Stegostoma tigrinum: one gene and its partner. The protein of the gene in region 1 purifies or fractionates together with the protein of each later gene. This does not show direct contact. Links are inferred from orthologs where the notes say so. Each region holds a gene or a part of one and is shown on either strand. Other genes may lie near its edges. The genes, in order: arrdc1b and hecw2b.

What was found.
Region 2: the proteins of arrdc1b (region 1) and hecw2b purify together in Homo sapiens (affinity purification with mass spectrometry; 3 studies listed by BioGRID and IntAct, counting the BioPlex papers as one, with this or other methods). This does not show direct contact. The link is inferred for Stegostoma tigrinum from reciprocal best matches to the Homo sapiens genes ARRDC1 and HECW2.

Annotation. Positions count from the first base shown.
Region 1 is NC_081382.1:18,479,170-18,495,588, forward strand, and holds the start of arrdc1b (arrestin domain-containing protein 1b), read right to left. Parts: upstream 7,919-16,419; 5' UTR 7,846-7,918; coding exon 7,728-7,845; intron 1-7,727. UniProt on the Homo sapiens protein: Functions as an adapter recruiting ubiquitin-protein ligases to their specific substrates. Through an ubiquitination-dependent mechanism plays for instance a role in the incorporation of SLC11A2 into extracellular vesicles.
Region 2 is NC_081360.1:32,269,098-32,285,644, reverse strand, and holds the start of hecw2b (E3 ubiquitin-protein ligase HECW2), read right to left. Parts: upstream 7,864-16,547; 5' UTR 7,274-7,863; exon of another isoform or gene 7,080-7,273; intron 6,929-7,079; exon of another isoform or gene 6,048-6,928; intron 1-6,047. UniProt on the Homo sapiens protein: E3 ubiquitin-protein ligase that mediates ubiquitination of TP73. Acts to stabilize TP73 and enhance activation of transcription by TP73. Involved in the regulation of mitotic metaphase/anaphase transition.

The DNA of each region.
Region 1 (16,419 bases):
AAATCGATTTATAACCAAGTCAGAACACAATACAGGAAAATATGAAGTAGCAAATTCGTAAGTATAGGAACATTTGTATGTCAGATCTTAAAAATTACACCCTTATATTCCTAAGTCAGATGTTGGTAAATTGGGGATCCCCTGTAATTCCCCTGACATGCTCCCCAGAACATTGTGCTTTTTAAAATGCCTATAAAAACTCATTTGTTTCCTCATGCTCTGATTTTCCATTCCTTATTAATCAGTCTTTTTGGCTTTACTTCATATGCTGTCATTTTCTGACATGATATCTTTGCAGAATAGTATGCTTTTCTATGGATTGGCTATAGCTGTTAACTTCCGTAGCCACAGATGATATATCATTAATTCAAAATATGTATTTCACACTTGCATACACACTGAGTATTCAGAAATAACAAGTGTCTGCCAGAATATCGTGAATGGCCTACACCTTACTCTAGTGTCCCAATTCACTTTAGCTTCCTTTGTTTTCATGCCGTAATTGTTCTTGTTTAAGTCTAAAATGCTAGTCTTAGACTACTCTTCTCTACTTCACGCTAAATGCAAAATGGTATTACAATCATTATTACCTGGGGTTCCTTTACTTTGAGCTCAAAAATTAATTCTGTCTCACTACACAAACAGCATGCCTAGTATAGCCAGTTTCTGGTTGACTTTAGTACACACTCCGAGGAAACTGCCCCAAAAACACTGATCTCACCCACCTGGATGTTCTAGATAACCTTACTCATCCAATTTATATGCAGATCGATAATCATTGGTGATCACACTGTATCTTTCTTAGGTCCCGTTTATTTTTGCACATATAAAGGAGGCATGTCAGGTTTGTCACAGAAACCCTACAGTGTGGAAGTAAGTCCATACCGACCCTTGGAGCATAACTCTATCCCTATAACCTTGCATTTACCATGGCCAATCCACCCCTAACCTGCTCGTTTTTGGACTGTAGGAGGAAGGCCACGCAGACACATGAAGAACGTGCAAATTCCTCACAGACAGTCGCCTGACAGTAGAACTGAATCCAGTTCCCTGGTGCTGTGAGGCAGCAGTGCTAACCACTGAGCCACTGTGCCACCCAAAAATCGCATGTTGAGGAAACACAGTCGGCAGCACATGAACCTGCATAGGCAAACCCCAACTGACAACTAAATCAACACCTTAGCCACGCGGCCATGACAACTACAGACAGCTGGGATCGAGAGATTCAATACAGGAGTACAAGGGCAACAGAAGGATACTTGAGAGAAATCAGGAAGGCAAAAAGGTGACATGAGCTAGCTTTGGCAAATAGAGTTAAGAAGAATACAAAGAGATTCTACAAGTATGTTAAGTGCTAAAGGCGGCCCCGAAAGATCAACATGGCTGTCAATGTACGGAACCACACAGGAGATGGTTTAGATAGTAATTGAATATTTCGCGTCAGTATTTACTGTGGAGAACAACATGGAAGATCAGGAACTTGGGGAAATAAATAGCAATGTCTTGAAATCAGCTCATATTACAGAAGAGGTGGTGCCAGAGGTCTTACAACACACAAGGATAAATAAATTCCGGAACCTGATCAGGTGCTTCCCAGACTTGAGGGAAGCTAGCAAAAAGATTGCAGGGCCGGAAGATGGATAATGTGGTGCCGTTATTCAAGAAAGGCTGTAAGGAAAAGCCAGGGAACTAGAGGCCAGAGAACGTTAGATGAGTGGTGGATAAGTTGTTGGAGGGGCTTCTGAGGGACAGGATTAACATGCATTTGGAAAAGGACTGATTAGGGATAGTCAACATACTGTGGGTGTGTGGGAAACCATAACTTGATTAATCTCCTTAGTCACCTCTTCAAAAAAGCCAATGAAGGCACACTGGTAGACGCTGTCTAATGGACTTCAGCAAAGAGACAAGGTTTCGCAAGTTTGACCAGTTAGTAAGGTGAGATCATATGAGATCAGGGGAGCTAGCCAACTGGATGCAAAATTAGCTTGACAGTAAGAGACAGAGGGTACTGGTAGAGCATTGCTTTTCAGACTGGAGGCCTGTGACCAGCAGTGTGTCCCAAGGATTGGTGCTGGGTCGACTGCTTTTTGTCATGTATATAAAATTTTCTGGATGTGAATATATGTGAGATATGGTTAGTAAGTTTGCAGATTACACTTAAACAGGTGGTGTAGTGGGCAGTGAAAAATTAGCTCAGAACAACAGAACCTGGATCAGATAGGTCAACTGCCAAGGAGTCACAGAACGAGGTTAATTTAGATAAATGTGAGGTGTTGCATTTCGGTAAGGTAACTCAGGACAGGACTTAACCAGTTAATGGTAGGGCCCTGGTAATACTGCTGAAGAAAGATCGAACAGTTCCTTGAAAGTGGAGTGACAGGTACACAAGGCTGGTGATTCGCACATTTGTCTTCATTGGTCAGACACTGAGTATAGGAGTTGGGACATTATGTTGCATCTGTACAGAAAATTGGTGAGGCTACTTTTAGAATACTGCGTATAATTCTGGTCACCCTTCTATAGGAAGGATATTATTAAACTTGAGGCTGCAGAAAAGATTTACAAGGATGTTGCCAGGTTGGAGGATTTTTGTTATAGGGAGAGGCTGAATAGGCTGGGGCTATTTAACCTGGAGCATTGGAGCCTGACAAGTGACCGTATAGAGGTTCATATAAATCATAAGGGGCATGGTGTGAGTGACAGGGTGAACAGCCTAGGGTAGGGGAGTCCAAAGCTAGAGGCCATAGCTTTAAGTTGAGTGAGGAAAGACTTAAGAGGACCTGAAGAGCAATTTTTTCAAGCAGAGGGTGGAGCACATACAGAACCAGTTGCCAGAAGAGGTGGTGAAGGCAGGTACAATTACAAATTTGAAAGGCATCTGGAAGGGTATATGAATGGGAAGTGTTTCGGGGGATATGAGCCAAATGCTGGCAATCTGGTCTGGCCTACGTGACTCCAGACCCACAGCAATGTGGCTGATTCTGAACTTCTCTCTAGGGAATTAGGGATTGTTCCAACTATACAGATACGATTTCCTCAATGCTGGAATCAATGCTCCAGAAATTGAAACCTATCCCGCTCGCACGAATCTTTTGATGCTCGTATTCATGTCACTCATTTTATTTAACTTAAGCTAACTTGCTTGCGCCTCAGATAACAGAGAACTAAACCCCCGCAGTGCTGTTTTAATTTAACCCCGGTTGCTCTCATTCTCTTAGCAGAACCTTTTTCTTAGCTACACCTATGTCACTGGTACAGGCGTGAATTGTAACCACTCATTGCTTCCCTCCCACTACCGAGCACAAGACAGGCACAGTCTGCTGTCCCTCACTCAATGCAAAGAACCATATCTAACCCTCAACTATGCTGTGTCCTATTACCACTAGATTCCCATTATTCCTATGAACTTCACCTCGCTCTCCCAGCTCCACCTATCTGAATGTTTTCCTGTACCATTGTGCCCTGTCCATATTTTCATAAATGCAGCATACAGGGGAGATGTTAGTCTGCGCTATTCTTGTCTTTTATCTTAATTATGAAACCAGGTTTATTTTCTTGATTTTATTATTGCTTATGACAGTTATTGCCTTACAGAGATTATCTTACTAACCATCTTCTCTATTTGATTCTATAAATGGTTCTCATCCCTTAGATGACTTCACACCCACTCCCTTTTGAGGTCATTATTTACTCAAAAAAAGTACTGGCCTCTTCAGATCTTTAAACCACAGTTTAATTCTTTATCCCTTATAAAATCAGGAATGTGTTTTTACATCCCAAGTCAGGTTTCTCAAAACCTCATGCTCATGTTTCATTAATCAGGTTTCCACGTACAGCAAAATAGCTTTCAACACATCATAAACGACATCCTCTGAACCACGGTGCATTGACGATCTTTCTGCAGCCTTTAAAATGGTTGATCAACTACAATTCTGTCCTCAAACATCAACTATTCATTTTATAGCTCAGTAGAATGACATTTACTTGGTTCCATTCTTTGTGGTCCAATCATAGTCAAAATCGACCATGGTTTCTGTTCTTGCAAAACACCTTTATGCTTAGGTCAATCTATTTTGCTAACACTTTGCTGTTGGTCAAGATCAGAAATCTGGTCAAATGTCATATGTGTTGGCTGCTCCTAGCTCTAATATTTCTCCTAACTCCGCCATTATCTTTGCATTGGGAGATTTCACATCTGACATCCCACTATATCAATTTCTCCCATTTAAACATACAAAGACCAAGCCAATATCTCCTGTTCTTATCATAATCTTGCTGTTGTCAAATCTATGACTCATCTGGCCACAGTACCTAGGTAGAATCAGACTGTTTACAGCTAAATGTCAAACTGTGTTCCAACCCAATTCCTCTCACTACAGACTGCTGACTCTTAGCACTAACATTGGCTATGGCAGGGATGGAGATAGACAAGGTGCTACTCAAGCATTCAAACATATCTTTTTGAATTTAAGGCTTAACTGCTACCAAGTCTTCAGGTTGGGGTCTATGATCTTCAGCTCACCTGAAACACTTATCCATCCTGTCCACACCAAATTACAATCATTTTTCTGCCTCTACAAATATACTTAATGCCACCAGTTTAAAGCATGTTCTGAACTCGTTTACTAGTTTATCTTCCCTGAGAGAATTCCACATTGCCTTCACTAAATCAGAACCCTACAAAGTCTATATTTCTGACTCTGGCATCTGTCCTCTATGTGCATGGCCCTTGGAGTGGTGCTTTGAATCACAAGGACCCTCACTCACCCGTCTTCTCCCTTTACCATCTCCTCCCTACTTGAAACTCTCATCCACAAGCCTTGGTCACGTTTCCTATAATTTCCTTTGGTAGTTCAGCAATGATCTTTTGCACACACTTTTAGTTTGTGAAACACCATGGAACTTTGCTTTACATTAGGGATGTGATACAGAAGCAAGTTGTGGTTGTGCACCATTGTCCTCAGGCTGAATAGCACAGATAATTCTCTGACCAGTGACCCTGTTAAGTAAGTGGATATAACTGCACCATATCGAGTTTGATGTCAAAAGGACCTGAAAAAAAAAGAGAAATCAAAGTATTTTCGAAATGGAAAGAAGGTAGAAGCTGTGAATGAGTGGAGAAATTAAGGAAGTCATAGTACAGCTATCAATAAAAGCTTGTGGACAACTTCAAATAATAATTTAAAGATGAATGAAATGCTGGCCCTCATTCCAAAGGGTCTGGAATTTATATCAAGACATGTGGAACTTTGGTTAAATCTGTTTGGAGTTCCACATTCAAGACAGTTCAAAAGGACACAGATACACAGATTAAATTAGAATACAAGTTTATAGAATATATCTATGCTTGCCAAAATTAAGAATAATAATGGGACAATCTGAATGAGGACTTTCAGATGATTTAGAGATGCAATAGGGTCAGGGAACATAGGGATAAAACAATCAGGGTGATCCTATACTGCACTTCTTCACGCAAAGGAAGTCTTCTCTTTCCAACCCCAAAAAATCTGACAGTACCTTAACTGAAACTTTTAAAACCAAAGCTGATAGACTTTGTTAGGGAAAGATAGTGATCTCAGAATGAAGATGTAGTTAAGCCACAGATTTACTAAGAACTAACTGAGCCTGTTGTCATTCACACAGTGAATGTTGACTTAGGAACTAGGCATAAGGCAGAAATAAGGTTATTTGCTCTCAGTATATGGGCTGTAAAGAGCGAATACAAAGCTCACTAATTAAGTAAATGGGCACCAAATGAGTGTTTAAGCAATCTTTGCAAAAACTTGGTTATTCCTTAGCTTTACTAATAGTTTTTCACAGCAACAATGCAGGGAAAGAGAGTCTGGTCTCTAATCAGGTTACTTATAATAATGCTTCACTAAGTCAATTCCTTCCAGCCCTCAGCCTTCAACCAAAATGTTCCAAACTTCTCAACAGGGCTTTCAGGATCCCATCAGCTTCACCTCAGCATGGCAGAATAAGAACCTCTCTCATTTTAAACTCCCTTCCTAAATCTGCAAATATCTCAAGAAGCACTGCACTGATTAACTTAACTCACACTGCCTATCCTTTTGCTTTATAGCCAGTGACTATTTACCTTTCACCAATATTGCCACGGTTGGAAAGTTTAAACTATAGGGAGAGGCTGAATAGGCTTTTCCCAGGAGCATCAAAGGCTGAGGGGCAACCTTATAGAACTTTATAAAATCATGAGGGGCATGGATATGGTAAAATAGAAAAAGACTTTTCCCTGGGATGGAGGAGTCAAAATCTAGAGGGCACAGGTTTAAGGTGAGAGGAGGGAAAAGATTTAAAAGGGACCCAAGGGGTAACATCTTCATGCAGAGGGTGGTGCAAGTATGGAATGAGCTGCCAAAGGAGGGTTGTGAAGGGGGGTACAATTACAACATTTAGAAGGCATCTGAATGGGAAAAAAAGAGGAATGGTTTAGTAGGATATGGGCCAAATGGGACTAGTTTTATCAAGGAAATCTGGTTAGCTTGGACAATTTGGAACAAAAGGGTCTGTTTCCATGCCGTACATCTATGATCACTTCTCCAGATGCTTCTTACATACGAGTTACTAAACAAAAAAAAAGTTTTCAATGCACAGTGCATGTATGACTTCTCCAAACTATCTGGTGCACATAAAACAGCTGGAACATTAAGTTGTGTCCAAATTACCATGTTTAACCAATCTCAACATGAATAAATACAAAAACGAATAATCCATGTAGTTTTTTTAAAATTAAAAAGCCTGAAATTCTACATCACGTCCCATGAACACTCACTCAAAACTAGATACAGGTTTCAATTACATCAATAAATTTTGACATCTGTTAGCAATTACATCATGGACTCAAGTGTCAAACCTATCAGACTTTTCTCACTTTATCTGATCAAAGCCCTGCGCTGGATTACTGATAACCCATTTTCAACCGTTTGTTAAACTCCACCCTACATCATTTGTTATGTCCAGTAAGCTAGCTATTGGTTTCCAGTAACTAATTGCCATTAGACAAGCCCATGACATTCATATTTTGGATAGCAATACAATTCTGCGTCAAAAAACAAAATAAAAATGTACATTAGGTTTTAGGTATATTAAATATACAGCTTCAATTTTCCATTAGAGTTCAGAACATTTATAAAACATTCAAACATTACCCAGTTTATGACAGAAATGACTGCGGTGATTAGTTATTTGAAATGATGCAAAAGCTTGCTCTCTGAAGTACATTATAACACTATTAATTCCTCTTAATCCTTCCAAAAGCTTTAAACCACCACAAATATGGGTGACAAAAAGGAATCCTAACGGCTTCTCTTCAATCTTGTCTGACCGCTACAAATAAAACAAAACCCTCAGGGCACTTCTCCAGATTCGGGACTCTAAAATTCCTCATCGGACACGAACGCTTCAAAGCTTGGTGTCTTTTTAGCTCGCCGGCAGACTGAGTGCCTTTGCCGTTCTTGCTCGCTCCCTCCCAACTTGTCTCACTTGCCACCTGTAAAGGTCTCACTTCCACAGAGGACTCCTGTCCCTCCAACTTCCCTGAGCCTGCCAGACCCGGAAGCAGCTCAGCGCGCCGACCCAACCGTCGCCTCCAGGGGCTGAACTTCAGTAGCCCCCTCAACCAGCCCTCCTCACTCCTCGACCCGCTAACGGGAGAAGGGTGTGGGGGGGAGGGGGGGGGGAACATACAGACAGACCGGCCGACCGACCTTTGAAGTTGAGATGCGCAGCCAGCTTGACTCTCACTTCGCCGGTGATGAACTCGCCGGGGCTGTAGACCACTTTGTTGTCCTTCAAGACGACGCTCAACTCCTGAACTTTCCCCATACTCCAAGCCGCGAGCCACCGCCGGACTGAACCGGAAAGGTAGAACGCGACGCCCTCACGTCTCCGCACCCGCCCCGATCCGCGACGTCAACAAAACGCCCGTCCCGCTGCATTCCAGGGACACGCATCGACCGCACTGTGCACACGCTAAGGAGCCCCGCCCACATGCCTGACGTGTAGCAAATAATGTGTCAAGTCATGCCAAACGTGTGAATAACAGATAACACTCGACAATCTACTGTATTCTGCTCTTCTGGCGAAGCGTCACTGCACTCGAAACTTTAACTCTGTTTTCTCTCTCCACAGATGCTGCCAAAGCTGCTGAGATTGCCCAGCAGCGTCTGTTTCTGAACACTGTTTTCTCTCTCGCCAGACCCGCTGAGATTGTCCAGCAGTTTCTGTTTTTGCTTTAGATTTCCAACATCCTCTGTTCTTTAGTAAGAGGAACACAAATTTACCCCACGGGTGAGCACGGTATTTTCATACAGACTAGCACAACTGTGAGTGGGACTGTAGTTAACCAGTAAAGACAGCAAGTTTTAATTAGTTTCTGAGAATGAATATCAGTCCATGTCACAGATGAGCATCAGGGGATTATTTGGATCTGTTGTACAAGTGGAAGTTTGTTCATTGTATAAATAATTGTGAATTTATTAAACACATTCACCTCTTTCCTGACAATAGAGCAAGGGACATCACAGTACTGTCCCAGACAACAAAATGTGAGGCTGGGTGAACACAGCAGGCCAAGCAGCATCTCAGGAGCACAAAAGCTGACATTTCGGGCCTAGACCCTTCATCAGAGAGGGGGATGTGGTGAGGGTTCTGGAATAAATAGGGAGAGAGGGGGAGGCGGACCGAAGATGGAGAGAAAAGAAGATAGGTGGAGAGAGTATAGGTGGGGAGGTAGGGAGGGGATAGGTCAGTCCAGGGAAGACGGACAGGTCAAGGAGATGGGATGAGGTTAGTAGGTAGATGGGGGTGCGGCTTGGGGTGGGAGGAAGGGATGGGTGAGAGGAAGAACAGGTTAGGGAGGCGGAGACAGGTTGGACTGGTTTTGGGATGCAGTGGTTGGAGTGGAGGAACTGGGCTGGTTGTGTGGTGCAGTGGGGAGAGGGGACGAACTGGACGGGTTTAGGGATGCAGTTGGGGAAGGGGAGATTTTGAAACTGGTGAAGTCCATATTGATACCATTAGGCTGCAGGGTTCCCAGGCGGAATATGAGTTGCTGTTCCTGCAACCTTTGGGTGGCATCATTGTGGCACTGCAGGAGGCCCATGATGGACATGTCATCTAAAGAATGGGAGGGGGAGTGGAAATGGTTTGCGACTGGGAGGTGCAGTAGTTTGTTGCGACCTGAGCGGAGGTGTTCTGCAAAGCGGTCTCCAAGCCTCCGCTTGGTTTCCCCAATGTAGAGGAAGCCACACTGTGTACAGTGGATGCAGTATACCACATTGGCAGATGTGCAGGTGATCCTCTGCTTAATGTGGAATGTCATCTTGGGGCCTGGGATAGGGGTGAGGGGGGAGGTGTGGGGGCAAGTTTAGCATATCCTGTGGTTGCAGGGGAAGGTGCCGGGTGTGGTGGGGTTGGAGGGCAGTGTGGAGCGAACAAGGGAGTCACGGAGAGAGTGGTCTCTCCGGAAAGCAGACAGGGGTGGGGATGGAAAAATGTCTTGGGTGGTGGGGTCGGATTGTAGATGGCGGAAGTGTCGGAGGATGATGCGTTGTATCCGGAGGTTGGTGGGGTGGTGTGTGAGAACGAGGGGGATCCTCTTTGTGCGGTTGTGGCAGGGGCGGGGTGTGAGAAACGTGTTGCGGGAAATACGGGAGACGCGGTCAAGGGCGTTCTCGATCACTGTGGGGGGCAAGTTGCGGTCCTTGAAGAATTTGGACATCTGGGATGTGCGGGAGTGGAATGTCTCGTCGTGGGAGCAGATGCGGCGGAGGCGGAGGAATTGGGAATAGGGGATGGAATTTTTGCAGGAGGGTGGGTGGGAGGAGGTGTATTCTAGGTAGCTGTGGGAGTCGGTGGGCTTGAAATGGACATCAGCTACAAGCTGGTTGACAGTACTGTCCCACTTTCCCATTGATATTTTGTCAGTAAAAGCAGGGAATTATCTGATTGACACAAATGGCATGGATTTGTGAGGGGTAGATCAGGCCTCACAAGCCTTATTAAATTCTTTGAAGAGGTGACCAAACACATGGAGAAAGGTAGAGCAGTGGATGTGGTATACATGGATTTAAGTAAGGCATTTGATAATTTTCCCCATGGTAGACTCACGCAGAAAGTAAGGAGACATGGGATAGGTGGAAATGTGGCAGATTGGATTCAGAATTGGTGGACGGAAAATAATCAACATGGTGCACAGTTATGAGTGGTGTACTAGAAGGATTTGTCCTGGGTCCTCTTTCTATTTGTGATTTTTGTAAATGATTTGGATGTAGGAGTGGAAAGGTGGATTAGTAAGTTCGTGGACGATACAAAATTGGGTCGTGTTGTGGATAGTCCGGAGGGCTGTTCTAGGTTACAAAGGGTCATTGATAGGATGCAGAGCTGGGCTGAAAAGTGGCAGATGGAGCTTAACCCTGAAAAGTGTGACATGATTCATTTTGCAAGGACAAACTTGAAAGCCGAATACAGGGTTAATGAAAAGATTCTTGGCAGTGTGGAGGAGCGGAGGGATCTTGGAGTTCATGTCCAAAGTTCCCTGAAAGCTGCCACTCAGGTGGATAGAGTTGTAAAGAAGGTGTATGGTGTGTTAGCTTTCAATAATAGAGGGATTGAGTTCAAGAGCCATGAAGTTATGCTCCAACTATACAAAACCCTGGTTCGGACACATCTGGAATATTGTGTCCAGTTCTGGGGTTCCGTCATTACAGGAAAGATATGGAAGTGTTGGAAAAGGTGCAGAGGAGTTTTACCAGGATGTTGCCTGGAATGGAGGGAAGGCCATATGAGGAAAGGTTGAGAGAGCTAGGGCTTTTCTCTTCAGAATGATGAAGGATGAGAGGTACTTGATACAGGTGGACAAAATGATCAGAAGTATAGATAGAATGGACAGCCAGAGACTGTCTACGGTGGAGGTAGCTACTATGAGCAGACATAGTTTTAAAGTTAGTGGAGGTAGATAGAGGGGAGACAACAGAGGTAGGGTCTTTACTCATAGAGTGGTAGGGGCATGGAATGCATTTCTAGAGAGGGTAGTGGAGTCGGCCTCATTAGGGGCATTTAAGCGGCTATTAGGTAGGCATATGGATGATAGTATAAGGTAGGGGTTGAGGTTGGATAGACCTTAGGTCTAGGGCAAAAGTTCAGCACCATATTGTGGGCTGAAGGGCCTGTGCTGTGCTGTACAGTTCAATGTTCTATGTACTATACTCATTGGAGTGCAGAAGAATGAGAGGTGTGCCTAGTGAAACGTGTAGAATTCTGAAAAGATGTAACAGGGTAACTGCTGAGAGGATGTTTTTCCCTATGTGAGAGGACATAGTCTCAGAATAAAAGGGGCATCAATTTAAGACTAAGATGAGGAGGAATTTCATCTCTCAGAAGATTGAGCGTCTTTGGGCTCCATGCCACGCAGAGTTGTGGGGCCCAGAATCTATCTGTATATTTTAAGGCTTAGATAGGATTCTTGATCAGTAGCGAATCACAGGGTAAGGGAAAAGGACAGGAAAGTGAGGATTTTCAGATCAGTCACTATCCAATTGAATGGCAGAGCAGGCTGAATGGGCCAAATGACCTGCTCCTGTTCCTATTCTCTTATGGTCTCACCTTCTGGATACAACATTGTGTTCAACAACTTTAGAGCCTCAAAAGGGTAAAGAGGAGATTCACCAGGATGTTGTCTAAGCTGAGGTGATTTAGAGATGAAAAGAATCTAGACAGCCTGGTTGTTTTTAAGGTGTAGGAGTAGATTTGTAGCTCAGATTGGGGATGTTTTGACTGGTTGGCTGGCTGAGCTGGTTTGTTGTTCCGCAGAAGCTTCATTACCCTGCTAGGTAACAACACCAGTGCAGCCTCCGATGAAGTGCTATTGTGTTTTCCTGCCTGTTATTTAACCTCTGGAGTCCATTGAGCTGGATTACCTCACTTCCGGTTTTCCTTCACAGTGGAGTGTATATGGGGTTGAGCTCTATGTGTTTGTTGATGGCTTTCCTGGTGGAATACCAGGCTTCTAGGAATTCCTGTGCTTGTCTCTGCTTTGCTTGTCCCAGTCGAATTGGGGTGTTCTTTATCTATATGGATAGAGATGACCGAGTATTGGTCGTGTCTTTTTGTAGCCAACTGATGTTCGTGTACCCTTGTTAATTTCCTTCCTGTTTGTCCAATGTAGTGTTTGTCACAGTCTCTGCAGGGAATTTTGTATATGACATTGGTCCTCCCCAGAGTGGGTAGTCGGTCTTTGGTTCTGGTGAGCAGTTGTCATAGGGTTGATGTGGGTTTGTGTGCTACTCTTATGCCCAATGGTCGTAGGAGTCTTGTGGTCAGTTCAGATGTGTTCCTGATGTAAGGTAGCGCGATGAGTGTGTTGGGGTGTGTAGTATCTTCGTAGGGTTGTTTTCTTTAAGCAGAGAAGACTAACACAGAGTATCTGATCGAGGTGCACACAGTTAAGTTGTCCATAGACAGGGTATTTTGGAATAAATGTTTCTTCTTAGTTCAAATAGCTCAATAACTGTGGGCACAGTGTTAATGTAAAGAGCAGGTGATTTAGAGGAGATTGAGGAAAAGATTTTTTCAGCCAGCAGGTTTCTGGAACTCACTACCTAACTGGGTGGTATAAGAGGGAGCACACAAAACCTTAAAAACTATTTCAATGAACACTTGAAATGCAAATAAAGCAACAAATTAAGTGCTAGAAAATTGAATTAGAATAATTGGATGTTGATGATACAGTGGGCTGAAATGCCTCTTTCCATACTGTAAAAAGTCTATTACTCTATGAGCATGAACACTATACTCCATGTTAAAGACATCAGCACCCCCAGTGTCTTGTTTACAGAGGCATGCCCTCAACAAAACCTACCTACTATTTTCAACCAGAGACAGCATGAACTGCCAATGCTGGAGTCTGAAATAACACAGCATAGAGCTGGAGGAGCGCGGCAGGCCAGGCAGCATCAGAGGAGCAGGAAAGCTGACATTTCGGGTTGGGACCCTTCTTCAAGGGTCCTGATCCAAAACTTCAGCTTTCTGGCTCCTCTGATGCTGCCTGGCCTGCTGTGTTCCTCCAGCTCCATACTATTTTCAGCCACTCATAATGATCACTAACCTCTATTTTCCATCTTGAATATCGTCAGCACTATGTCAAATAAAAGCAAAATACTGTGAAAGCTAGCCATCTGAAATAAAAACAAAGTGCTGGAGAAGCTCAGCTGGTCTGGAAGCACCTGTGGAGAAGCTAATGAGTCGAGTTTGAGTTGAGAAATTGAAAAACATCTGGACGGGTTTATGTGTAGGAAGGGTTTAGAGGGATATGTTTCAAATACTGGCAAATGGAACTAAATTAATTTAGGATAAGTAGTCAGCATGAATGATTTGGACTGAAGGGTCTGTTTCCATGAGGTACAGCTGTATGATTCGCTGACCCTAAGTCAAGTATAACTCTTATACGAACTCCTGTTTTGTTCTGGGCACCATCACCATTTAATCCATTCACCAATGACGACATCCCAGAACTTCCCTTTATGAACAGCATAATAGCCTCCATTTTCCAGACCATTCAGTTAAGAACAGAGAGTAATTTCGGAACTGAAGCATTAACTTCGTTTCTTTACTTCACAGACACTGCTGGACAAGCAGAATTTCTTCTGCACACTCTTTTCATTTCTGAGAAGGAACAAAATAATTTTGAATTCTCTCAATGAGTACATTTCGTGCAAATGCTTTAGATTCTCTATACAGACTGATGTGGTTGGGCTGTTGGGTTGTTTTTCACAGCCTTTATTTCCTTAATCATTTGCAACACTGCATGAGGCTATTTGCGTCAGACCTACACCAGTTTTCAGTGGTTAACTCCACAACTAGTCATTGGGGCAATATTGTAACAACTAAATGTAGCCCAGTCCCTATCAATTAAATGTCACACACTGTAGTTATAATTTACTAGTCAGTACTTTGCCTGTGTCCAATGCAAAATTTGGATCTGAAACAAACAAATTCCCACTCCCTATGAACTGAAACATGACCTCGAGCAGTGAGTAATTTGAGATAACACACCCCGCTTGAACAATGGAAATGATTTATTGTTTCTGGATTTGTTTGTATAATTCCTGCCAGCCACCCATGTTACGTATGAGAAAGATTAAAACCGCCAGACATTTTTGTAACAGCTTTATTGATGGATAACTTTTAAATTGCCTGTTGTTAGATATAATTCAACTTTCAGCTAAGAATAGTTCAGCAAACAAACCAGTCAGCTCAGTCCTTGTATATGCCGATTTGTAAATGATAACCTGATGATTACTGGATGCAGCATTGTCCTAACTTGCTGATTCTGCCAAAGGGAAGGACCCCGCAAACTGGTCTTTTGAACAAAATAATTCTAGGACAACCAAACAAATGTATAATCACATTTCTAGAAAACCAAACCAGGACACTTGGGATTCTACTGGGATCGAGTGAACACCAAATGTGAGTGACTAAGACTGGGTACTGAGTGAATTCATCATCGACTTAAATTCACACTAAAAGAACTGCAGATGTTGGAAATCAGAAAGGTAAACATAAATTACTGGAAAGGCTCAGCAGGTCTGTGGAGAGAAATCAGAGTTAACGTTTTGGGTTCAGTGACCCTTCTTCAGAACTGAGGAACTGAACTTCTGTTTTTGTTGCCAACTTAAATTCATTTATTCGAGTCATTTATGGTATTCTGCAATTCAGTAGAAGGACCACAAACTTTTCAGTCTACTGGGGCTGCCAGACCTGCTGAGTTTCTCCTGCAATTTCTGTTTTTATTTCAGAACTTACACTTAACCTGACAGTGGACTTAGCTTCTCCTCATTGGAATACCGATGTCCAAGTTGCCTTTATACCTTTTGCCTTTCCCTTTCCACGCACATGTAGGACTTGAAATGTAGAACTTGTTAACCCTTTCTAAGCCACAACCGATGGCATGATCAGGGAGGTCTCTGAACCTCAATCTGCCTCAGTATTACATGATTAGATTTTTAGTTATCTAGGTGATGCATGCACAGTGCATGGTCAATCTTGGATGAGCCAGGTGATATATAGGTGATTTCTTAATGGCTTCTTTGAAAGTAACAATTGCCTACTGCAATACTTTCCATTATCCATTGATTGCTTGTTTAGATTTCATCCACCAGAGAGAATCTCCCTATTTATTTCAGAGTACAGAAAGGCTTGGAGATGTTGTGCAATGAGAACAACTTCTCTCTCAATGTCTGCAAACTGATCATAAGCTTCAGAAAGAAGGGAGTAGAACACCCCCCACGCGCCCCCCCCCCCACCCCCCGGCTACATCAACAGTGCTGACGTTGAGAGGGTGGAGAGCATCAAGTTCCTAGGAGTAACAATAACTGACAATCTGTCCTGGACTTCCCATGTAGATGAGAAGGTTAAGAAGGTACAACAATGCCTCTGCATCTTCGGGTGGTTCAGGAAATTTGGCATGTCCACAATGTCCTTCACCAACTTTTATGGATGCACCATTGAAAGCATATTGCCCAGGTACATAATGGTCTTGTACAGCAACAGCTCTATCCAGGACCCTATGGAGTCAGAGAAGGTTGTGTGCACAACTCAAACCATCACAGAAGCCAACCTTCCATCCATGGACTCCATTTACACAGCCCATTGCCATGAAAATGCTGCCAACATCATCAAAGATTCATATCACCCTGGTAATGCTCTCCTACAACCTTTCCTGTCAGGCAGAAGATACAGAAGCTTGAACACGTGCACTAGCAGGTTCAAGAATGGCTTCTTCCCTGCCATTATTAGACTGATGAATGGACTCTCTAACTTCAAATAATGCCAAACTTACTAACATTGTTCTTGCCTAGCATACACCTTGTGCAATGTAACTTGTATGCTTTGGTCTAGTATTTTTTTTCTCACCCTATGATCTGTATGTCCTTGCATACTATGATCTGTCTGTACTGCTTGTAAACAAAACTTTTTCACTGTTCTTAGGTACATGTAACGATAAGTCAATCAAATCAAATTAAAGCTTAACCTATCATTTCGTTTCATTTAAAAACTTACCACTGAGATAACAAAGACATTTTACGATATCTTCTTTGCCCATTTGTTTCAAAACAGGGAATGTCATTTCTTGTCATGCTGTCATTTCCCCAAGAATGATACTTATGAGGCAAGATTGATTAGGTTAGGATTGTTTTTGCTGGAGTTCTGAATGAAGAGAGTATCTCACAAAGACTAATAAAATTCTAACAGGACTGGACAGGGTAGATGCAGGGAGGATGTTCCCAATGGTGGTTGTGTCCAGAACCAGTGGTCACAGTCTGAGGATTCAGGGTAGACCATTTAGAACAGAGATGAGGAGACATTTTTTTCATCCAGAGAGTGATAAGCCTGTGGAAT
Region 2 (16,547 bases), on another chromosome or scaffold:
TGTGTCATTAACAGATTGCAAAAATAAGGGCTGTCAGCTGTAGTGGTGCTCCTGTGCTAGAGTCAGAAGGTTGTGGGTTCAAGCCTCGCTCTAATAAGCAATGCAGCCAGGGTGATGTCTTCTGAATCAAAAACAGAAGATGCTGGAAAAATTCAGCATGTCTGGTAGCATCTGTGGATAGAAAGCACAGTTAATAAGAAAGGTCCAGTGACCTTCCTTCAGAACTGATTCTAGCTAGGAAAATATTGGTATACATGCTGAAGATGGAGTGGGGAGAGGCAGTAAGGCATAAAGGACTTGGTGGAGATGGAACCTGGAGAGAAAGAAAGAAAAAAAAACAGACAGTTTAGCAGACAAAGATAAAGGTCTGCCTCGGGTCCTCAAGTGGTGGACATGGTAGCAAACCATGTGATGACAAGGTCTGGTGTATGCGGTTGGGTTAAGGACACAGGAGAAGGTGCTCCAAGCCCTAAGATTACTGAATTCAATACTGGATCCCGAAGGCCACAAGGTTCCCAAGGATTCTTGAACAGAATTTCTTTTTTCACTCATGCTCTTACCCCAATCCTAACACACTAGACCATGGGCCTCCTGCAGTGCCACAATGATGCCACCCGAAGGTTGCAGGAACAGCAACTCATATTCCGCTTGGGAACCCTGCAGCCCAATGGTATCAATGTGGACTTCACCAGCTTCAAAATCTCCCCTTCCCCCACCACATCCCAAAACCAGCCCAGTTCGTCCCCTCCCCCCACTGCACCACACTACCAGCCCAGCTCTTCCCCTCCACCCACTGCATCCCAAAACCAGTCCAACCTGTCTCTGCCTCCCTAACCTGTTCTTCCTCTCACCCATCCCTTCCTCCCACCCCAAGCCGCACCTCCATCTCCTACCTACTAACCTCATCCCACCTCCTTGACCGGTCCGTCTTCCCTGGACTGACCTATCCCCTCCCTACCTCCCCACCTATACTCTCCTCTCCACCTATCTTCTTTTCTCTCCATCTTCGGTCCGCCTCCCCCTCTCTCCCTATTTATTCCAGAACCCTCACCCCATCCCCATCTCTGATGAAGGGTCTAGGCCCGAAATGTCAGCTTTTGTGCTCCTGATATGTTGCTGGGCCTGCTGTGTTCATCCAGCCTCACATTTTATTATCTTGGATCCTCCAGCATCTGCAGTTCCCATTATCACAGACCTTGTCATCACATGGCCTGCATTTTTCCAGCAATTTCTGTTTTTGTTTCTGATTTCCAGCATACATGCTCCTTTTTTCATTTAATGTCTTCTGATTCACAGTCATAGCTTGTGAAACAAATTCTAACATTCTTCTGAAAAACAATCTGGCCATTGACTGTATTGAGAAATATATTATGTCAGATTATACAGAAAATTGAACTCTTTACAAATATCAGGGCTAGAAAATTTTCCACAATGAAGCCTGGATAGTTGTATCACAAAGTACAGTTTTAGCTTTTGCATGTATGACTTGGTCACAAGACCATCTCAACGTCATATAGCACAGAAACTGACCCTTCGGTCCAACTCGTCCATGCCAACCAAGCTTTCTGAACCAAACTAGTCCCATTTCCCTCATTTGGCCCATATCCTTCCAAATCTTTCCTATTCATGTGCCTATCCAAATGTCTTTTAAATGTTCTAACTACAAGCATCTACCACTTCCTCTGGCAGTTCATTCCATGTACGAACCACCCTTTGTGCAAAAAAGTTGCCCCTCAGGTCCTTTTTAAATCCTTCTCCTCTCATCTTAAAAATATGCCCCCTACTTTGGAACTCGCCCACCTGAGGGAAAAGATCTGTGCTATTCATCTTAATCAGACTTCTAATGATTTTGTAAACATCTACAAAGTCAGCCCTCAACTTCCTAAGCTGCAGTGAAATAAGCCCCAGGCTACCAAGCCTTTCCTTATAACTCAAACCTTCTAGTCCCAGCAACATGCTGGTAAATCTTTTCTGAACGCTCTTCAATTTAATAATATCCTTCCTATAGCAAAGCGACCAGAGCTGTACACAGTGCTCCAAAAGTGGCCTCACCTATGTCCTGTACAACCTCATCACAATATCCCAACTCCTACACTCAATGGTCTGAACAAGGAAGGCCAGTGTGCTAAATGCCTTCACAACCATTCTGTCCACCTGTGACACAACTCTCAAAGAGCTACGTACCTGAACCCTTCAGCTTCTCTGTTCAATAACACTACCCAAGGCCTTACCATAAACAGTATAAGTCCTGCTCTTGTTCGTTTTACCAAAATACATTAGCTCGCAATATCCAAATTAAATTCCATTTGCCACTCCTCAGTCCACTGGCTCAATTGATCAAGATCCCTTTCTAATCTTAGATTGCCTTCTTCACTGTTGACTATACCACTAATTTTGGTGTAATCCGCAAATTTACTAACCTCAGATCAATTTGATTTAGAACCATTAAACTCTATATGACAATATTCATTGTCAATCAATGCTGGCAGGAGAGAATAAATGGACAGTTCTCTTTCAGTTTATGGTGTAGGGACACCTGTGTGTGTATACACATTTTATCCATGTGTTTAAGAAATCATTGATAAATATAGAACAAGCCACCTGAGATAACTCCTCTGCTCTTCTTTGATATTGTGCCACAGGATATTTTAGATTGTCAAGACCTCATGTTGGACATAAACCTAATTTTTTTAAAAATTCATTCACGGGATGAGGGTGTCACTGGGCACGCAGCATTTTTTGCCCATCCCTAAATGCCCAAAGGTCAGTTGACAGTTAACTACATTGCTGTGGGTCTGAAATCACATGTAGGCCTGACCAGGTAAGGATGGCAGTTTCCTTCCCTAAAGAACATTAGTGAACCAGATGGGTTTTTTCAACAATTGACATCAAGGTTATCATTAGATTCTTAAGTCCATATATTTTTATTGAATTTAAATTCCACCATCTGCCTGTGGTGGGATTTGAACCCAGCTCCCCAGAACATTACCTGGGTCTCTGGATTAATAGTCCAGCAATAACACCACTAGGCCATCGCTCGCCCAATCCTTGTGATTCGGAGGCAAAATACTTCACAATGGAATTACAGTTTACATACTCTTTAAGTCTACTAATGAAAAATATACTGCTAAATGTGATGGAGAATATGTATTTTTCATCCCACTCCTTCTGTAGAAAAGAAATCACAATATTAAAACCCAAAGAATGAACAGTTAAGGCTAGTAGTTAAAAAATATAGTCATCCCTTTGAGAAGAACACAGCATTAAAAAGATGAGAATACTGCTTTGCAATGTTCAGTTTTGACCATCAATGTGAAGAACATACTGCACTCACTGAGTTATGTCAAGCATATCTCTGTGCTTTAAATCAATAACAAAAGGAATGCCAGCCAATTTCTAGATCTGAACAGAACTGGCAATTGCCAAGCAAGTTGACGGTCAACTAATGCATCATGTAAGGTCAGTGATATTAAAACAGAATGTCGATGTCAAGTCTATTATTGTCAGCCAAAACAATTAATTTGAATTGTACCAATGAATAATATTGCCACCAGGTAACTAACTTTTCGAGCAATGGCAGTTTGCAAATGCCAGAAGAATGTAAATTAATTTTCTAGGGATTTGAAATATTTTGTTTTGTAGATTTCAACATTATGAGCTTTTAACAAATGTTTAAATCAGAGCATTTCTTATCCAGAGTATTGCCTTTACTGAAGGCTTTGTTTAACCATTTTCATGTTTTATGTTGTGCAGTATTCTCACTCCACTGCATACATAATTTTCTTGTTCAGACCTGTCATGCAGAAACTTACTTTTGCTGTCTTATGATGATTAAGTAAAATTGATGACAACAAGAGACAGGATCAACTGTACATTACATCACAGCTAAGCACAACCCTGTCCTTAAGGAGGAGGAGAGGTTTTGGACAGAAGAACAGTTGTGCAGGCTACTTGTCGAATGGTAAGAGAGTTGGAGGTATAGATGTGTGAAGGGTGTCTTTCTAACTAAATCACTGAAGGCTAAGATGCAGGTGCAGCAAGCTGTTAAGAAGCCAAATGGAAGATGAGCCTTCATCTCAAGAGGATTTCAGTCCAGGAATAGTAAAGTCTTGCTTCAATTATATAGGAGCTTGGTTAGATCACACCTGGAGCACTGCGTCCAACTTCGGTCTCCTTTATCTATGCCATAGATGGAGTGCCACAAAGATTCATCAGACCTGCTTCCAGGATGGCAGGTTTGTCCTGTGACAAGAGATTGGGCAAACTGGACTGGTCTTCTCTAGAGTTTCAAAGAGTAACAGATCTTACTGAAATCCTACAAAATACTCAAAGGAATTGACAGGGTAGATGCAAGTAAGAGGGAGTCTTGAACCAGGGAGCACAAAATAATAATAAGTGATGCCATTTAGGGCCAAGGTAAGGACAATATTCCATTAATGAGGGTGATTAATCCGCCCCAGAGGGCTGTGGAAGCTGAGACTTTGAGTATCATTAAAGTAGAAGTTGGTCATTTTTTTGATTCTGAATGGCACAGATGGTTTGGGGATAACATGGGTAAAAGACACTGATGTTCGATCAGTCATTTTAAAAGGCAGCACAGACTCAGCGGCTGAATGACCTACACCTATTCTTACATTTCCTGTACAAAAGAATTAAGATTCTATGGAGAGGATGCTGCAAGTATAACTCTGGCAAGGAATTTTTCAGTATATTAAAATGGACATAAAGGGTGGTTTGTCTGCAGTTCAGAGTATTGGTTGCCTAAATAATATTTGATCAATGTTGATTTTAGTTTGTTTGTTCCAGTAAGAGTTTTGAAATATTATATTTTGTGCAATTCCTTTCAGACCATCACTGGGAATCTAAATCTTTTAAACTTAACAGGGTCACATCACTGTCCACAAAAGCTGCTTGACCAGTTAAGTAGTTGCAGCACATTCTGTTTTTCTTTCACTTTACAGCACCACAAGAGCCCACTTAAGTGCACTGCTAACATAACAAACTAATGGTCCAATCAAACTAAACTTGCATTTACGTAGTACCTTTAATATAGTAAAATGTCCTAAAATTCTTCACTAAAGCAAAAATTTCATAGAATCCCTACTGCGCAGACAGAGGCTATTTGCCCATCGAGTCTGAGCCGACTGTCTGAACAGCATCCCAACCAGATACAGCATCCCCCATTGTTAATCCATCTCGCCAGCCCATCCCTTGTCACAATCGGGGATTTTAGTATAGCCAGGCCACCTAACTTGCACATCTGTTGACTATGGGAGGAAACCAGAGCATCCAGCAGAAACTCACGCAGACATAGGGATAACATGCAACCTCCACACAGTTGCCCGCGGCTGGAATCAAACCTAAGTCACCGGTATTGTGAGGCAGCAGTGCTAACCACTGGCTCAAATTTGACACTGAGTCATGGGGTGACTGAGTCATTAGTGATTGAGACATTAGGAGTGATTATCAAAGAGGTAAGTTCTAAGGTGTGTCGCAGGGTTTTAGATCGGGAATTCCAGATGTTATGTTTGAAGCATGGTATGTTCCCCAACTTTGAAACAATTAAAATTGGGGATGCTCAACAGGCCATGAGTTCAGCTATCCCAGAGTGAGAAGAAATTAGACAGTGAAAGTCGAAGTCATGGAGAGATTTGAAAACAAGGCTAAGAAGAATTCTAAAATATGAGGTGCTGCTTAAGCAGAAACAGCAATCAAAGGAATGATCAGTGAAAGAAATTTGATAGGAAACAGACAGCATAGATTTGAATGACTTTGAGTTTACAGAGGGTAGAATGTGGGAAGCTTGCCAAGAATTAGTAGTCAAGAGTAGAGATAACAGAGGCATGGATGAGGGTTTCAGCATTCGCCGAGTTGAGGCATTCCAGAATGTGGTGATAAAATGTTTGGCAAGAGATTAGCCGAGGCAGAGATGGAGTTGGGCAGCATTAGAAGTAAGAATTGGGGAGGGTGCAGGTATGTGGGTTGGGACCTCCTGCCAAAATCAAGTATTTCTGATCAGTCTGCTTCAGCCCTGAATAGTTGTCAGGCTAGAGATGGAATTGGTAGCTAGGGAACAGAGTTCCAAGCAAGAGGTGGTTTCATAGTTAATGGAAGGAAATTTCCGCCCATCCAGCTCTCAATGTTGAACAGGCAATCTAATACTGCAACAGTATTTGAGAAAACTGATAGAGCCGAGTGTTGCTGTCAATGGAAGCAAAGACTGGTGTGTAATGTCGTCAAGGTACAGAATGTCGTAGAAACAGGAGATAAAAGATTACTTCTACGAAAGCACCAGAGGTTGCAGTGCAAGGAAAGAGAAAGCATTGCAGGTGATTTTACTGCCAGGCGTAAGGACGGTGGCGGGTGCTGCTGCAAGAAAACCCTGTCACTGGATGGTGTGATCAACCCTGTCAAAGTTCGTGGAGACGGGACGATTGACTATTTACACGCCAGATGAAGCAACACACCCCAAGGGGAAACCTCCACCACTATATCAGAAAGATGTTATTATTGCGTTTAGGCACTGGTCTGCCCGAGGCGCCCAATGAGGGCGAGTGGAGAGAGAGTCCCTGAAGGCGAGTGAAGCCGGTGGATTATTTACCAACTCGACGGGAGACTGTTTTACCTCCCCAGCGGCGCGACAACCCCACTTCGTCCTTTCCGCCACCTCCCCGAAGCCCGGCCAGCAGCGCGATAACGCGGCGGTCTGTGTAAACAGCTGTGAGGTGATGTGACGGAGGAGTCGCTGCCGGAGGGGGTGGGGACGGAGGGGGGATAGCTCCAAACCAATGTCGCATTGTCTGGACACAACCAAAGGCTCCCCACCTCCCTAGACACAACCAAACCCCGCTCCGGGGACGAGGCGGGGCCACGAAGGTGGGCTAACACAGGCGAGCCAAAATAAAAACATCTTTTCGGAAAAAAACAGGTGAGCACCACCCGAATACCACTGGAGGGAGGAGTGATACAGATGGGATCCACAAAAATACCTGGACAAAAACCCTTTCACATCAGAACTGATTCAAAAACACGTCATTAAATATTATTTTTATATATATGTATCTTATTGATAATTGCAGAATGCCGGCCGCTCTGGTTAGGGACGGCGATCTGTTGCAAGTTTCTCTCCCGTCGCCGATCCCAGGCCCGGGGACTATCCCAGAGAGACTTCCCCCAGGACCAGGAGAGGAGGAAACTCCGGCCTCAGATCCTGCATCAGATTCACCGACAGACCGGGAGTGAGGGATGGAGTTGGAATGGAGCGATTACTTACCTCAGGGAGAAAGATGTACTCAATCCTGTCATCCCGAGCAGCCCAGCAATCTCAGGAAGACGCAGGAAGTCTTTCCGTCTCCAGCAGCACTCAATGCGGCTGCTAACAGGCTTCAGTCCCTCTTCCCGCAGCCTTCAGACTGGGTTTCTAATTCTAATGCTCCCAACTGGTCTTACTTTGTCCGCACACACACACTCCCTCCCTCCCTCCTTCCTTTTTCTTTGCTCTAAAATCGAGGGAGAAATATATACATCCCGGGCTCGTCGTTATTGCAAGCGATGCAGATCTTCCGCTGGAGGTGTTCGGGAATCGTCCCCCCCATGCCCGCCGCCTGTTTTCTGCTGCAGCATGTTTGCCTCGCCGCTGTTCCCACCTCCTTCTCCCGACGTCGGGTCACGGCCGGCTCCTCATCCCCAAGCAGACGCCGCCGCGGTCTCTCTGCAGCCCAGCCGAGTTGCTCTCGGCCTCCTGTCTCTCTCTCTTTCCCTTCTCCCTACATTCAAGCAGCCGGGGTCCAGGTTTGGGCGGGATTCCTGTGTGTCATTCACACAGGGGGCGGGAGGGCTCCTCCCACTTCGCCAAGACCACACTCCAGCGGCTGTCAAAGGGTCGGCAAGCTTCAGTGCACGGATAGAAGGGGCTTTCAGACGCGGCTAGAGCCCCTCTGTGACTGGAAATGCAGGGGAGGGGGCTCTTCCCATCTTTTCCGAGGGGATGGGGTGGGGGGTGTGAAGGGAAGAGAAATAACCGTGATGCAGCAGGTGGAGATTTACAGTATGATCCCGCAGCTTTATCTTGTTTCAGGTTTCCAGAAAAGACGCATCGCCATTCAGATCAGACCAGATCGAAGGGCTGGTGAGTAGCACCGTCGCCTGTGTTTTATGCAGGGTGAAGATTGCAAGGATAGTGCCCACAAGGGATTAGGGCACCAAATTACTGGGTTTTCCTTAATCGGCTCTCAGTCCTTTCTGTAGAGTTGGCCATCCATTTCCCTCACTGTAAAATGTGCAGCTGTGAAGTTAATCCAGCCAGTGACCAACATAAATTGCAGCAGAGATAATGGGAACTGCAGATGCTGGAGAATCCAAGATAATAAAATGTGAGGCTGGATGAACACAGCAGGCCAAGCAGCATTTCAGGAGCACAAAAGCTGACGTTTCGGGCCTAGACCGTTCATCAGAGAGCAGCCCGTTTACCAGAAAGTCGAACAGGTGCCCTACGAGAATAGTTTGAACAGTAAAGGGAAGACAGAGGTAGAACAGAATAAGCAACAAACACACGCAACCCTGGCACAGTGGAGAGCATTTCCACCCCTTTATTAAATTCCCATGGCCTAGTATAACTGGGAGTGATCACATGAAGGCCAAATACCTTAACACAAGAAGGAACAGGAAAATTGGAGGGTGCTACCAAGGGCCGCAGTCAATATATATTTACAATCATCCCTAAATATAAATCAGTGCTAAAGTTCTAACTCACTGGGGAGACAGATAAATTACTGGGTAGGCAGACCTACTTATCTCCATGGATTATATGTATTATAAAGTTGAAGCTTACAAAATACAGTATCATGACGTTCATTTCAAAGGAAGACTTGTATCAGCTTGTGCTACCTTAATTGTTCTGCCACCTCCTGCGCTAAGATAATAGTGCACGAGTTCAAGATGTCACACAGCATCAGGCTCTAGTCCGGTAGGTTTATTTGAAATCACAAGTTTTCGAAGTGCTGCTCTTTCATTAGGTGAAGTGATTCCAAAGGCTTGCGATTTCAAGTAAACCTGTTGGACTATTACCATGTTAGCTATGATTCTCTCTACCCTAGTCCAACACCGGCACCTCCACTCGTAGGTAGCGCTAACCTGCAGCTGGAATATGAAACTGAAGCTCTGTCGAGATACAATGACAGTATTTGAAGGAGGCGAATACAGAATTCTGTTGGTTCTGAAGAAGAATCATACTGGACTCGAAACGTGAACTCCGTTTCTTTCTTCACGGGAGCTACCAGGCCTGCTGAGTTTCTCCAGCATTCACAGTATGTGAATTCCATAGTCCCTCGTCCAACTTTTCTTCATCATCCAGTCTTTGAACAATTAGGTTATTGTGGCACGTGTACCAAATAACTGTAGCATTTACCAACAAGTGAGTGCGTTTCTTCAAAATAAAATAATGTTTAAAATATGCCACATAGCAAGACCTCACAAACTGGAATAACACAAATTACCAGTTAATGTGTCCAGCAATCTTGCTTGAAGATGTGCGACCCTGGTCACTTCAAATAGTTGTACATTAGAGTATGAACACAAACCAGAATCATGATTTATAGAACATCAGTCTAAATTATACACACAAATTCTGAAGTACAGTTTCAAATCACAACCCTTAGAGAAGAGACAATAGAGGGTAGAGCATATAGGAAGTACACCTATACAGCGTATTCAAAAAGAACGGGTACCCAAAGAACACAGTCCGCCGATTTCTCAGCAACAAACCCAAACAAACAGACAAAACGGGCTCAGAAACCATAACCACTCTCCCCTACATCAAAGACATTTTGGAAATGACTGCCAGACTACTCGGACCACTTGGCATCCGGGTAGCCCACAAACCCACCAACACACTAAAACAGCAGCTAATGAACTTAGAAGACTCTTTACAGACACAAGCAAAACGAATGTCATCTACAAAATAATAGTGTGAAGCTGGATGAACACAGCAGGCCAAGCAGCATCTCAGGAGCACAAAAGCTGACGTTTCAGTCCTAGACCCTTCATCAGAGACCTGATGAAGGGTCTAGGCCCGAAACGTCAGCTTTTGTGCTCGTGAGATGCTGCTTGGCCTGCTGTGTTCATCCAGCTTCACACTTTATTATCTTGGATTCTCCAGCATCTGCAGTTCCCATTATCACCATCATCTACAAAATACCTTGCAAGAACTGTGACATACACTACATTGGACAAACAGGTAGAAAGCTAGCCACCAGGAAACATGAACATCAACTAGCCACAAAACGACATGACCCACTATCACTCGTATACTTACATACAGATGAGGAAGGACACCACTTTGATTGGGACAACACATCCATCCTAGGACAAGCCAAACAGAGACACGCATGAGAATTCCTAGAAGCATGGCATTCCAACCGGAACTCCAACAACAAACACATTGACTTGGAGCCAATCTACCATCCCCTGAGAAAAGGAACAGGAAATGACATCACCAACACAGGAAATGACATAATCAACCCCAGGAAACCTAACCAGATAAATAGAAAGCGGGACATAACACCAGCGCTTCGTCGGAGGCTCACTGATGATGTTACCTAGAATGGTGATGAAACGTCTGAAAACTAACTTCCAGCTCAGCGAGCAAACTCACATCCAGAAACTCAACCTGAGCTACAAATCTTCTCAAAACTCGCTAACAGGAAGAAATATCAGGGACTTACGAGAAAGCCATAGCAGTGATCATTCAGAAGAAAGCAAAATGTCTGCGTTGCTGGAAATCCAAAACAAACACAGAGGTTGCTGGAGAAACTCAGCAGATCTGGCAGCATCTACAGAGTGAAAAACAAAGATTGTGTTTCCAGACCGTATGATTTCTTTGGAACTGAAAGGTGTTGGAAAATGCTTTTTTTATATATACGTTTGACAGAGGAGTTCACTCAGTGCAAAAGACAAAGGGGTTGTTAATGGTGGAGAAAAATAAAAAGATATAAAATGGGTGGAAATTAAAGTGTCAAGAGAGAATTGGACTTCTCAACTAAATGTAAAGTGAACAAGGCACAGAGAAGGCCTGAGGGTTGGGGTAGGGGGTGGGGAGATAATGTAAGAAAAATGAAGAACTGACATAATGTGAGCAGTTATTAAGTTCAATACTGAGACCTGCAAAGTGCCTCAGTGTGAAAATGGTGTTGTTCCTCAAGCTAATGTTATGCTTATTTGAAACATTGCAGCAAACCCAGGACAGAAATGTTAGCATGAGAACAAGGTGGTTTATTGTAAAGGCCAGCAATGGAGAGGTCAGGGTAGTCCCAATGGATAGAGTGGAGGTGTTCTGCAAAACAGTCACCCAGTCTGCATTTGGTAAAGGAGAGCGCTGTAGTGAACTGTGGTTGTGAACACTGTAGACTAGATTGAAAGAAGGACAAATAAAACACTGCTTCATCTGGAAGGTGTACTTGGGACCTTGTACAGGGAGAAGGTGAATGGGTAAGTATTATGCCTTGTGCAATTGCTTGGCAAGGTACCATGGGGGAGTGAGGAAGTGTTAGAAGTGATGGAAGGCAGACCAGGGTGTCATGGAAGGAACAGTCCCTGCAAATACTGATATTGGATGGAAGAGGAAGATGTGTATGGTGGTGGCTAAAATAGCAGGGGAGACTAGTGAGTTGGAAAGTAAGGACATGGAAAACACTATCATTGTTCAGGGAAGAGGGGAAGGGATGAGAGCAGAATGATGGGAGATGGGTCAGACACAGTTCAAGGCCCTGTCAACCACAATGGAGGGAATGCTCAATTGAGAAAAAAGGGAATCATTTCAGATGCAGCCTGGTGGGAGATGGCATCATCAAAATGTATGCAATGGAGTTGGGGAAACTGGGAGAATGGAAAGGAATCCATGCAGGCAGCATTGTATGAGGAAGTGTAGTCAAGGTAACTGCAGGCGAGTTGTAATGGATATTGGTGGAAAGCTTTCCGTCAGAAATGTAAATATTGAAATCAAGGAAGGGAAGGGAAGAGTCAAAAGTGGACCAGGTGAAAGTGAAAGAACGATGGAAATACAAAGCAAAACTAATTAATTCTTCCAATTCTGGAGAAAAGCAGGAGGCAGCACTGAAGGCATCATCAATGTACCAGAGAAAGAGTTGAGTGTGGGGTTGTCTGAAACTGAGGCAAAGAATGTTGCACGTATCTCACAAAGAGACAGGCATGACTGGGACCCATGTGTGTATTCATTGCCACAACTTTAATTTGGAGAAAATGAGATGAGTTAAATGAGAAGTTGTTCAAAATGATAACAAGCTCAGCCAGACAAAAGAGGTTGATGAGTTTCTTCAGCATTTTCTGAGTTTGTTATGACAGTAATAGTAGGTTATTTTATTTTATATATTGATTGAACAAATCAGATTATCAAAGGTAATCTAGAAGATGAGGTAAGCATGTTTTGGGACAATTTTGGAACATATTCTGGAGCCAGACAGCCGGCTTTTCTGTACCCCGTAATATGCAACAGGACAGAATTAATTAATAAAAGCAAAGTACTACGGATGATGGAAGGAAATAAAAAGAAAGTGCTGGAGAAACTCAGCAACATCTGTGGCGGCGGAAAGAGGTAACATTTTGAGTTTGATATGACGCTTCTTAATAACCTCATAGCTAAAGAGCCGCTTGGTAACAATGATCACAACACAACAGAATTTTACAGGATAATAAAGTGTGAAGCCTCCGCTTGGGGACCGCTTTGCAGAACACCTCCGCTCGGTTCGCAATAAACAACTGCACCTCCCAGTCGCGAACCATTTCAACTCCCCCTCCCATTCTTTAGATGACATGTCCATCATGCTTCCTGCAGTGCCATAATGATGCCACCCGAAGGTTGCAGGAACAGCAACTCATATTCTGCTTGGGAACCCTGCAGCCCAATGGTATCAATGTGGACTTCACCAGCTTCAAAATCTCCCCTTTCCCCACTGCATCACACAACCAGCCCAGCTCATCCCCTCCCCCCACTGCATCCCAAAACAAGCCCAGCCTGTCTCTGCCTCCCTAACCTGTTCTTCCTCTCATCCATCCCTTCCTCCCACCCCAAGCCGCACCTCCATCTCCTACCTACTAACCTCATCCCACCTCCTTGACCTGTCCGTCTTACCTGGACTGACCTATCCCCTCCATACCTCCCCACCTATACTCTCCTCTCCACCGATCTTCTTTTCTCTCCATCTTCGGTCCGCCTCCCTCTCTCTCCCTATTTATTCCAGAACCCTCACCCCATCCCCCTCTTTGATGAAGAGTCTAGGCCTGAAACGTCAGCTTTTGTGCTCCTGAGATGCTGCTTGGCCTGCTGTGTTCATCCAGCTTCACACTTTATTATCTTGGATTCTCCAGCATCTGCAGTTCCCATTATCTCTGATACAATAGAATTTTACATTCACTTTCAGGGAGAGAGGGGTGGAAAAAAGACTAAAGATTTCAAACTTAAAGGCAATTACAAAGGTTTGCTAACAAAGTTTGCTAAAGTGAACTGAGAAATCAGGTTAAGCGTGAAAGCCATTTAAAGAGATGTTTCATAACATCCACAAACGCTACAATCCTGTGAGAAAGACTTGAGAAGCATGCATCATTTCCTAACAAAGGAGGTTAAAGATACTATCAAATTAAAAAGAAAATATGACCAAAAACTGGGAGAAAATAAAGGGCATGAGAAAGTTAACAAGAAATATGAAAAATAGCTAAGAGTTTCTACAGGTATTTAAAATAAAAGAGAGTAACTAAAATGACCAGTAATCAAGTAGCAAGTGATTTGACAAATTAATAACAGAAATTAGGAAATGGCAGATGTGTTGAATATATATTGTGTGCCCATCTTCTCCTTAGAAGACATAAAAAAATCCCAGAATTACTTGTAAATCAAGAGGTAAAAATGGGGGAGGAACCTAAAACAATTATAGTCTCCTGGGAAAGGAGCTGATCAGTATTTGCTATTATAATAGATGTATTGCTTGTAATTTTCCAAATATCTCTGGATTCCAGAAAGGTCCCATCACTTTGGTGTACAGCAAATATGACCTCTATATTCATGAAAGGAGGAAGACAGGTAACAGGAAATTACAGGCCAATTAGTCTATCATTGATAAAGAATCATAGAGTTGTACAGCAAGAAAACGGACCCTTTGGTCCAACTCATCATTGCTGACCAGGTTTCCTAAATTAATCTAAGTCCCATTTGCTAGCATTTGGTCCATTTCAATCTAAATCCTTCCTATTCAGACACACATCCAGATGTCTTTTAAATGTTGTAATTGTACCATCCTCTACCACGTCCTCTAGCATTCCATACAGGCACCACCTTCTGCATGAAAAAGTTGCCCCTTAGGTCCCTTTTAAATTTTTCCCCTCTCAACTTAATTATATGCCCTGTAGTTCTGGACTCCCTCACCGTGGGGGAAAAACACCTTGGCTATTCACCCTATCCATGCCTCTCATGATTTTACAAACCTCTATAAGGTCATCCCCTCAACCTCCAATGCTCCAGGGAAAATAGCCCCAGCCTATTCAGCCTCTCCCTAAAGCTCAAACCCTCCAACCTTGGCAACATCCTTGTAAACTCTTTCTAACCCCTTTGAAGTTTCACAACATCCTTGCTATAGTAGGGAGACCAGAATTGCACACAGTATTCAAAAAGTGGCCGAACTAAGGCCTTGTACAGCTGCAAAATGACCTCCCAACTCCAAAACTCAATGCACTGACCAATAAAGGCAAACATACCAAATGCCTTCTTTCCTATCCTGCCCACGTAAGATTTCACTTTCAAGGAAATATGAACCTGCATAGCAAGGTCTCTTTGTTCAGGATCATTCCCAGGACCTTATCATTAAGTGTATAAGTCCTATCCTGATTTGCCTTTCCAAAGTGCAGCACCTCACATTTATCTAAATTAAACTCCATCTTGCCACTCCTTGGCCCATTGGTCGATCTGATCAAGATCCCATTGTACTCTAAGGTAAACTTTTTTGCCGTCCACTACACCTCCAATCTTGGTACCATCTGCAAACTTACTAACATACTTTGGGACGGCACGGTGGCTCAGTGGTTAGCACTGCAGCCTCACAATGCCAGGGACCCGGGTTCAATTCTAGCCTTGGGTGACTGTCTGTGTGGAGTTTACACATTCTCCCCGTGTCTGCGTGGGTTCCCTCTGGGTGCTCCAGTTTCCTCCCACAGTCCAAAGATGTGCAGGCTCGGTGGATTGACCATGCTAAAATTGCCCATAGTGTTCAGTGGTGTGTGTGGGGGTTATAGGGGGATGGGTCTGGGTGGGCCGCTTCAAGGGGCAGTGCAGACCTGTTGGGCTGAAGGGCCTGTTTCCACACTGTAGGTAATCTAATCTAACCATACCTCCTATGTTCACATCCAAATCATTTATATAAATGACAAAAATCAGTGGACTCAGCACCAATCCTTGTGACACACAACTGGTCACAGGCCTCTGGTCTGAAAAGCAACTCTTCACCAACACCCTCTGTCTTCTACCTTTAAGCTAGTTCTGTATCCAAATGGCTAGATCTCTCTGTATTCTATGTGATCGAACCGTGCTAACCAGTCTACCATGCAGACCTTGTCGAACATCTTACTGAAGTCTATATAGATCACATCTACTGCTCTGCCATCAACAATCCTCATCATTACTCTTCAAAAAACTCAACCAAGTTAGTGAAACACAATTTCCCATGCATAAAGCCGTGTTGACTATCCTTAATCAGTTCTTGCCTTTCCAAGTACATGTAAATCCTGTCCCTTAGGATTTCCTCCAATAACCTGCTCATCGTCAATGTCAGGCTTACCAATCTATAGCTCCCTGGCTTTTCATTACCACCTTTATTAAATAGTGACACTACATTAGACGACCTCCAGTCTTCCACCACTTTACCTGTGGCTATCGATGATACAAATATCTCAGCAAGGGTCCCAGCAAACACTTCCCTTGCTTCCCACAGAGTTCTAAGATACACCTGGTAAGGTCCAGGGGTTTTATCCACCTTTATGCATTTTAGGATGTCCAGCACTTCCTCTTCTGTAAAATGGACATTTTCAAAGATGTTTTCTTTATTTCCCACGTTCTGCGTCACTAGAATCTGTTACTAAGGAGGTTATCGCATGGCACTTAGAAAATCATAGTGCAATCAGGTAGATTCAACATGATTTTGTGAAATGGAAACCATGTTTGACTAACTGATTAGACTTCTTTGAGACAGGAATAAGTAACATGAATAATGGGGAACCTGTAATAATGATGGACTTGGATTTCCAAAAGACATTTGGTAAGATGCCACATAAAAGGTCAGCACACAAAATAAGAGTTCATGGTGTACAGTGCAACATATCAGCATGCATAGAAGATTGGCAAACTACAAGGAAGCAGAGAGTAGGGACAAATGAGTCATTTTAAAGTGCCAGGATGTAACGAATGGAGTTCCTCAACTATTTACATTTACATGGATGAAGGAGTCAGATGTACGGTCACTAGTTTATTAATGGCACAAAGATAGGTCGGA